Nothobranchius furzeri: one gene and its partner. The protein of the gene in region 1 purifies or fractionates together with the protein of each later gene. This does not show direct contact. Links are inferred from orthologs where the notes say so. Each region holds a gene or a part of one and is shown in the gene's direction. Other genes may lie near its edges. The genes, in order: hspbp1 and edrf1.

The links.
Region 2: the proteins of hspbp1 (region 1) and edrf1 purify together in Homo sapiens (affinity purification with mass spectrometry; 3 studies listed by BioGRID and IntAct, counting the BioPlex papers as one, with this or other methods). This does not show direct contact. The link is inferred for Nothobranchius furzeri from reciprocal best matches to the Homo sapiens genes HSPBP1 and EDRF1.

Annotation. Positions count from the first base shown.
Region 1 is NC_091752.1:51,237,816-51,242,326, forward strand, and holds the start of hspbp1 (hsp70-binding protein 1), read left to right. Parts: upstream 1-1,673; 5' UTR 1,674-1,819; intron 1,820-2,078; 5' UTR 2,079-2,089; coding exon 2,090-2,209; intron 2,210-2,554; coding exon 2,555-2,756; intron 2,757-2,849; coding exon 2,850-3,074; intron 3,075-3,179; coding exon 3,180-3,335; intron 3,336-3,760; coding exon 3,761-3,857; intron 3,858-3,936; coding exon 3,937-4,048; intron 4,049-4,207; coding exon 4,208-4,288; 3' UTR 4,289-4,511. Other genes in the region: tufm (elongation factor Tu, mitochondrial), read right to left, coding at 1-103, 189-235, 1,008-1,044. UniProt on the Homo sapiens protein: Inhibits HSPA1A chaperone activity by changing the conformation of the ATP-binding domain of HSPA1A and interfering with ATP binding. Interferes with ubiquitination mediated by STUB1 and inhibits chaperone-assisted degradation of immature CFTR.
Region 2 is NC_091752.1:32,218,523-32,222,340, forward strand, and holds part of edrf1 (erythroid differentiation-related factor 1), read left to right. Parts: intron 1-2,428; coding exon 2,429-2,629; intron 2,630-2,746; coding exon 2,747-2,965; intron 2,966-3,060; coding exon 3,061-3,287; intron 3,288-3,360; coding exon 3,361-3,519; intron 3,520-3,633; coding exon 3,634-3,783; intron 3,784-3,818. UniProt on the Homo sapiens protein: Transcription factor involved in erythroid differentiation. Involved in transcriptional activation of the globin gene.

The DNA of each region.
Region 1 (4,511 bases):
GATCCACATGGCCAATCGTTCCGATGTTCACGTGAGGTTTCTCTCTGCTGTAGGTCTTCTTCGCCTCAACAGCAAACGTTCGCCGACTCAAAGGCACAGCACACTACAAACCAAAGAGAATCCAACACCTAAAAACTCTGAAATCCAAACATCGAACATGTTAGGGAGAGCAGCGTATGGATACAGACCAGTCTGAATGAGCTGTGCAGGAGGCTTGGCGAAGAAAGCTGAAAGGCTGCGAAGAAATGATGACGTGATTAAAATGGCAACAATCATTCAGGAAATATTTTAGAAGAACATCTCTAGCTTTTATTTTGACACAGCTGTTTCACTCTTGTAATAAACATACAACCAGGTTGGAGACACTTTTTTAACCTAATGAGCCCTACACACCTTTACTTTCAGACACTAATAAATAATAATCTGCTGATTAGAATCAGGTGCACTGGAACAGAGAAACCTCTACTACATGTTGGCCCCTGATGACCAGTACTGGACATCTTTTTTTTTTTCAATTTACACAATAGCATGTCTTCATGTTTGTTCCTACGTGATAAACTTCCTAAACATGTACATAAAGCTATCTTAACCTTCTCTATCAGGCTCGTCTATGCTCATTTCAACTATAATAACGTTTCTGCCTGCAGCAGCTAACATTTAACTCAGGCTAATGGGAACAACTACATGTGATAACTATAGCAAGGTGTTTTTCCCGGCACAATGTAGAGATTAGTTTAGTATAATGTTGATTATCAGGATATAATCAGGGTTAACCATAAAGTCGTCTTTTGTCAAGTCTTCATCCGCATTAGCTGTCGTTAGCTAAACCTCACTGGTAACGTGACCTTGCTCTGCTATCAGACGCGAGAGCATCATCTCCATTGTTCCATTTCTTCAAGCCTTAATAGCTTAATATACAATTCACAAATGAATGATGATACTGAGGCTCCATGAGCGCGCACAGAGGCATAAATAATCACTTAGAAGCAAGACATGAAGTGTTTTACCAGAGAAACATGCACGCAGTCCCATAAGCGCCGCCATCTTGGATGATAAGACAAACCAAGATGATAAAAGTATCAAGAGAGTTCCCTGACTAGCACAAAAAAATTGTCGTCAGCCCCTAATCACATAAATAATAATTATTGTATATTTGTTTTTAAAATCATACTTGTTATTTACGAATATACATTACATGACAGTAATCAGTGAATGAAAAATATTGGAACATATTACAAATACGCTTGTTGGATTAGTTTTCATTTGGTATGCAGAAAATGTTTAAATGTTATAATTTTACAACATGTTTAATATAAAACAAGTGCTTTGGACGTTTTATCTATTTATTCATTCATTTTAGAAATTCATGTAAGAATGAAAACTACTTTTCTTCTCTTGAAAGCTAGGAAATTCCTTTTTAATTATGACTGATACTCTTTGTCAGAAACGTAGCAAGGCGTTGCTATTTTACCGTAATCACTTTAATAGAATGAAGCTTTCGAAAATAAAAAAATCTCCATTTCATCTTTTGAGTTGAACTGTTGCATGAATATAAAACTCTAATAATCTGAGTTAAATGTTGAAATTTATGTAAAGATGAGACCACTAAAATAACTGAAGAGAATTTTAAACACATTTCTACTGCTCGTTGCGTACATGTTTTATGATTAAGATGGCGGTTGACTCATGTTGCTCGAGAGATCAACTACTAGCCAGAATGTTCTAGCCCTTTCGTGGTTAATAGTTATAATCGGCTGTGGGCTCTCAGAGAAACATTGTAGGTTTAAATACTCTCACGGAATCTGAGGACACTTCAACAGTAAGTAATTTTATTCAGAAAAATATCCGTTTTGAGTCTGTAGACAGTTGTACTCAGATAATGCGTGTAGTCCACCATCCCTACACAGCTAAAAGCTACAGTCTCATGGAATAGCCTGATAATTTTAATAAAAAGAGCTCAACAGTAATGGGGTTGAGCTGCTTCTGGGTTACTGCTTACTAGTTATACAGGGAATGTCTAATATTAACGTCACAGCTTGTATAATCTTGTCTTTCTGACATTTCTTTTATGTGTCCAGTTGTTTAGGTCATGTCAGATAACAGACAGAACAGGAGGTACCCCCAGAGCCTTCAGGGGGTTCTGCAACTGGCAGTAGATGCTGGATCAGCTGCAGAGGGTCCTGCTCCTTTAGAGCCCATGTCAGAGGAGGTAAGAGCCTGTGGATTAGGGCACCTCAATCCTGGTCCGCAAGGGTCCATATACAGCAGGTGTTGGCTATTTTTCAGCTCCAACACACCTGATCCATTGATTGAATCACCTGTTCATCATATCTTCAAGTTCATCAGAAGCCATTTTATTCAAACGGGTGTGTTGTTGGAGAGATGCAGTTAAGTGGTCCTCGAGGACCAGGATTGAACAGCACTGTCATAGGGCCATTAGGTTTTATTCTGGTGTCCTTAAGTGGGTGTGTTTATAAACACAATCGTACTGAATGTAGCTTTTGACACAAAAAAATTGAGTTGGAACAAGTTAACCCACCTGTCTTTGTTACAGAGAAAAACCTGGCTGAGAGAAGCTCTTTCAGAGATGTGCAAAGGCCAGCTGGATGAAGTGGAGCAGGTTAAACAGTGCTTGGTTGTCCTACACAGAGAGGAGCCAGATGAAAAGGAGCGAGATGAAGAAGATGATGACGATGAGCGGGAAGCAGCCTTTGAGATGTTGTCTGAGTTGTGTGAGAATTTGGACAATGCTAGAGGTTTGTTATGAGGAGTTGATTAATAGTGCTCAGATCTGAACAATATTCATGCTGATTTATTTCCAAGGATCTCTTTTTTTCTGCACTTCACAGACCTGATGGTTCTCGGAGGACTGGACTTGTGCGTCTCCAGGTATCTGTCTCATGTCCAGAGTGGGCTGAGGTGGCGGGCTGCCCAGCTCATTGCTTCCTGTGCTCAGAACATGCCGCAGGTGCAGGACCACTTACTTAAGATTGAAGTTCTGCCCAAGCTGCTCCAGTTGACAGATGCAGACCCAAACCCCACCGTCAGAGTAAAAGCTCTTTATGCTGTCTCCTGTGAGTTTAGAGACACAACTTCAAGAATAAATCTTCACTGATGCTCGGTGTGTTTGCTTTTTCCTCAGATCACACAGAACTAACATTTTCTGTGTTTCTCTGTAGGTCTGGTACGAGAGCAGGAGGCTGGTCTCCAGGAGTTTGCAGCTCATGATGGCTTCTCAGTTTTGATGAGAGGCATGCAGTCAGAAAACGAGAAGCTCAGGACCAAGTCTGCTTTCCTTCTGCTAAGCCTGTTGACCTCACATCCCGAACATAAAGGTATGAAGGCAAGAGAAGAAAATAATTTGTTCAGAACCACGCCATTTGTGAGCATCATGATTAATTACTGCGATCCGTGATATAAGAATGACATAAATGAGCTAAATCAACACCTGGTAAAAAGAAGAAACTGAGGTGCACTTGTTAGAGGGAGTGTTTGTTTTCATAGAGCAGGACTTAAAATCTATACAGGAACCAGCCACTAGGGGGCTGTCATCCCATTTTTAGCTTATTTTCCATGGTTCTGTTCTTATGTCATATGTTTGTAATATTGAGACCCCTCTTTATGACGATTTAAAGTAAAAAATATATGTTCTGAGTATATTTTAAACAGTAAATGATCTTGTTCCAGATGTTTCTTTCTCTATTTCCATTTTTGTGTGTTCCACCTGGGATTTTCTGAATCATGTTTGGTCTTTTACCAGAAACGGTTGTGTGTATGGGGATGGTGCAGCAGCTGGTGTCTGTTCTCCGCTCACCACACTCATCCTTTCATGAACATGTGCTGGGAGCTCTTTGCTGGTGAGAACCCTCTTCAGCAGCAGCTGTAGTGTTCTATCGTGGTTCTTGTTTTAATGTCCAGCCTTGTTTTTGTGTCTAGTTTGGTGCAAGATTTTCCACAAGGCCTCAAAGAGTGCAGAAATCCCACTCTGGCTCTAGAGGAATTACTCAAGCAGCGTGCCGAAGAACTCCAGGGAAAAGAAGAGAGTCAGGTAAATCAAGTGTTTTTTACCTGGGTTAAAGGTGGTAAAAATATTTGAATACTGTCATTTAGACCAAAGCAGGATGTAGTCTTTTACATACTAAAATATAATAACGACGGAAATTGTTTCATTTGCTGCACTCTGATGTCACACTTTTCTTCTCAACAGGAAGCGCTTGATTTCTGCGATCAGCTGAGAGTTTTGTGTTTCAGCGGGCAGCAATCGGACGATAATGGGATGGATCGCTAAAACAAATGTTATTTTTTTATTTTCACTCATGTTAGCATCAGAACAAAAAAGGTATCAGATCATTCATGAGCCAAATCATGAAAAAGGAGCAACATGTTTGTCTGTTTTGGGACTATTTTCTGTTTATTTTTTGCATGTAATCCAGGAGCTGCATTACACTGTAAATACTGTATAAAGTTACATTTCAAGACTTCCATGTTTGCTCTTTTAAAAGTTTCTTGTA
Region 2 (3,818 bases), about 19 Mb from region 1:
CTCAGCTACATAATGATACTTTTTATCAATTGGATATGTGAGACTTCCACCAACAGCAAAAGGATCTCATGTTTTTGTGGTAGGGTTGTCACGGTATGAAAATTTAACCTCACGGTTATTGTGACCAAAATTATCACGGTTTTCGGTATTATCGCGGTATTTTTTAAACGGTGTTGCATATGTTCAGAAAGCATTGATAGTCCTGTTCTACCCAAACTGAAATAGTTTTGAAAAGGTTTAACAGTGTTTATTAAACCTAAAATAACACAAAGCCTTAGCAAAAGTGCAACTTTTCACAAGTAAAGGAACAAATAGCTTCTTTTTCTGGAACATGTTACAGTAGTCAGTGCAGGTTTAAATTATACAAATCCAAACATTCAAAACATAAACAATATGAAAACAAATCAAAGAAACACCACTTGTTTTCTCATATACTTGTTTTCTTCATTATCAAAATGAAAATCTAAAACTCCAGTCCACACTTGACTTGAGCACTGTACAAGTCAACCTTAAAAAATATGTATTTAAAACAAATAGCCACTTTAAACAAATTACTAAAATAACTACTACACTATGTAATCAAATCCAAATGTTCAAGTATGAATGGCATTGAATAAGTAAACAAATCAATGACAAGGAACTAATTGTATATTTCTCTTCATCATCAACAAATAAGATGCTTCATCCAACAACAGGGTGTCCGTGACACGGTGTAAATGCTGGCAGAGGACGCTGCGGCTGCAGTATATAGTGACTCGTTGCATTCTCCCTCAGCCAAAAGTCCTCGCGTCATGCATTTAAGCTAAAATGCTAATGTCAACTTACCTTGCACTGGCTGTAGAGACGTGGGTGATGGTCATGCAGATGTGCCATTAGATTCGAAGTGTTGCTGCCTTTTGCAGACTCTTGTTTCCTGCACGTTCTGCAAACGGGATAGCCGTCTTCTATTAACTGTCCCTCAGCATTTTTCAGAAATCCCAAATATGCCCATACTTCCGATTGAGTCTTCTTTGAGGGCTGATGGATGTCCTGGGCGCTGCCGTCTCCTCCTTCGGCCATTATTTCAGCTTCAAAGTTTTGGTGCCGTTGCAAACTAAAAAGTGCGTGTGCGCGCCGCGGGAACTTCAGCTGAAGCGACGGTGGCTGGTAAGGGTCATCGCGCCAAAACCGCGGCCACGGTAAACCCACCGAGATAATATAGTTTTTTAAAAACTGGACGGTTATTTTTATTGTCAACTTTTTTACCGGGGTTTACCGCTATACCGGTTACCGTGACAACCCTATTTTGTGGTTTTTTTATGTTCACAAGCACATTCCCTCTCACGGATTACTAAACTGCTGTTTACACAAGTTGTCAGAGTGTCTAAAAAGAGGTCGTTTTTAGTTTAGTATAACTCCGCTTTTACGTTGCCTATTAACACAATTTAAAAACTGGGGTGTATTTATTATCTCCTTTTTAAATCTGGATTGAAACCGAAACTCAGGGAGGCGGAGTCTTGCTGCTACAGCGTCCCAAATCAGGCCTGTTCAAAAGACGCAGATACGCGTTCATGGACCTCAGAGGGTTAATAAAACACAATTCAGATCACACTGTTTTCTTAGGCCTATTACTAACACACATATGATTTTGTTCATGTGGAAAGTTTATGTGGTTAAATCCAACAACTACCGGTAAACACATTCTGAACTTCAACACAGCGCATCAGCGCTTGAAGCGGCGCTGCGACCCAAAAAGTACCGGAACCGCTCTCGGCGCATGCGCAATCCTGCATCAACACCGCTCGCCCTCCATTTCCCTAATAACACACGCTGTTCGTTTATTTTTCTACACATTTTTTTACTCACAAAGATTGTCAAGAAAGCGTGTTTGTCGTGTTCATGTCAAATTAACCTGATCACAAAACAGATTTACTTTCTTTATTTCGTTTTCCTCATCCAACCCCCATAAATCCTTGTGTGTCCTCCGGCAGCACTCCCGGTGTACGCCCGGCTTTAGTTGGAGGGAGACCCGCGATTATCGCTTTGTCGCGCATGTCTCATTGAAAATGAATGGAGGAGAGGCGAAGTTGCCTCCCGTGTGTCGAGCCCATTAGAAGAGTACGAGCCGTCAGCACACGCAATGAGGAAGTGCACGTGCGCTCTAAACCAGGTCTGAACCAGGGCTAGACAGTAAAGTGAAGCATGCTTTTGGCTGTTTATAATTTTCACAATGTCTGGTTTGCACTGACATGTTCCGTCCCGAGCCCGCACAGATGTTTTACCGGTATGTTTTACCGCGTTCGCGCCCTAAAATCCAATGTGCCTTATGTATGTGTTAAATACCAAAAAGACACCCGTAACTGAAGCTGCGCCCTATAACACGGTGCACCCTATGGTCGTGAAAATACAGTACTTCTCCATCTGCTCTCCTTTTTGTTTTTGTCCTCAGATGCTTATTGTTCCATTAGTGCAACGTTGCACTCACAAGTGCTGCAACTTCACAGCCAGTGCCTGTCGCTGTGTGGAGACATCCAGCTGATGTTGGCTCAGAATGTCAGCAACAGAGCTGCTTACCTGGAGGAATACAGCTATCAAACCAAAGAGGACCAGGAGATCCTGCACTGCCTGCACAGAGAGAGCAGCTGCCAGGGTCCGCCCCCATGTGCACTACCTTAGCCAAATCAGTTGCAGCACACACTTTCCAGAATGCTTAGAAAAGCACCAAGCTGTGTTTAATTAATGTTTGTTTCATTTTTCTGCTTGTTAGCTTTCAATATGGCAACGGACCTGGCTATGGATCCTGAATACCAGCTGTTTGTTAGCTGCAAATGCTACGAAGCGGCACACGAACTTCTGATCTCAGAGGACTCAAAAGATCAACCCTCAGATCAGCTTTCTCAGGTCCTCAAGAGACTCGGAAACATCCGCAACGAGATGGGCGTTTACTATATGAATCAGGCTGCAGCCATGCAGACGGAGAAAGAGGGTTTGTTCTCAGACATCATCATTTGGAGACTTTTAGTTATTTTGAGGGGAAAATTCCTAAAAAGTGACACTTTTCTCTGTGTGCTGAATTGCTAGTGAGAAGTTCCGTGTCTGCAGCAGAGCAGGAGCTGTGGAAGAAGAGTTTTGGCTTCTTTGAGAAAGGAATGAAGGACTTTGAGGCCATCGGAGACATCACCAACACGGCCTTACTGCTGTGTAACACAGGCCGGCTGATGAGGATCTGTGCTCAGGCCCACTGCGGAGCCTCTGCTGACGAGAGCAGAGGGGAGTTCTCACCGGAGGAGGCTCTGTACTACAATAAGGTTCAGATATCCTCTGTGGTTCTGCAGTTCTACTGATACCTGTTCTCACTTAGACTTTTTTCTTGAACTCCAGGCGATTGACTACTACTTGCGAGCTATGAAGTCTCTGTCCAGCAGAGAGAGTCACACAGCAGTGTGGGACAGTGTAAACTGGGAGTTGTCCACGACCTATTTCACTCTAGCTACACTTCTGCAGGACTACGCCCCACTGTCCAGGAAGGCTCAGGAGCAGGTGAGACTCAATATCCTTCAGTCGGCCATCTTTTTTCAGCAATTATGTACATTTTACTAATGTGTGCATTGACTTTTAGAGCTGTGAGCTAAGCTAGTGTCTGTGTGTCTGCAGATTGAGCGGGAGGTGACGGAGGCCATGATGAAGTCTCTTAAATACTGCGACCTGCAGACAGAGTCTGCCCGTCAGCTGCTGTACCAGTACAGAGCCGCCACCATCCACCACCGCTTAGCCTCCATGTATCACAGCTGCTTTCGTAATCAGGTGAGACTCGTTTAAAATATCCTCTCATCAGAATT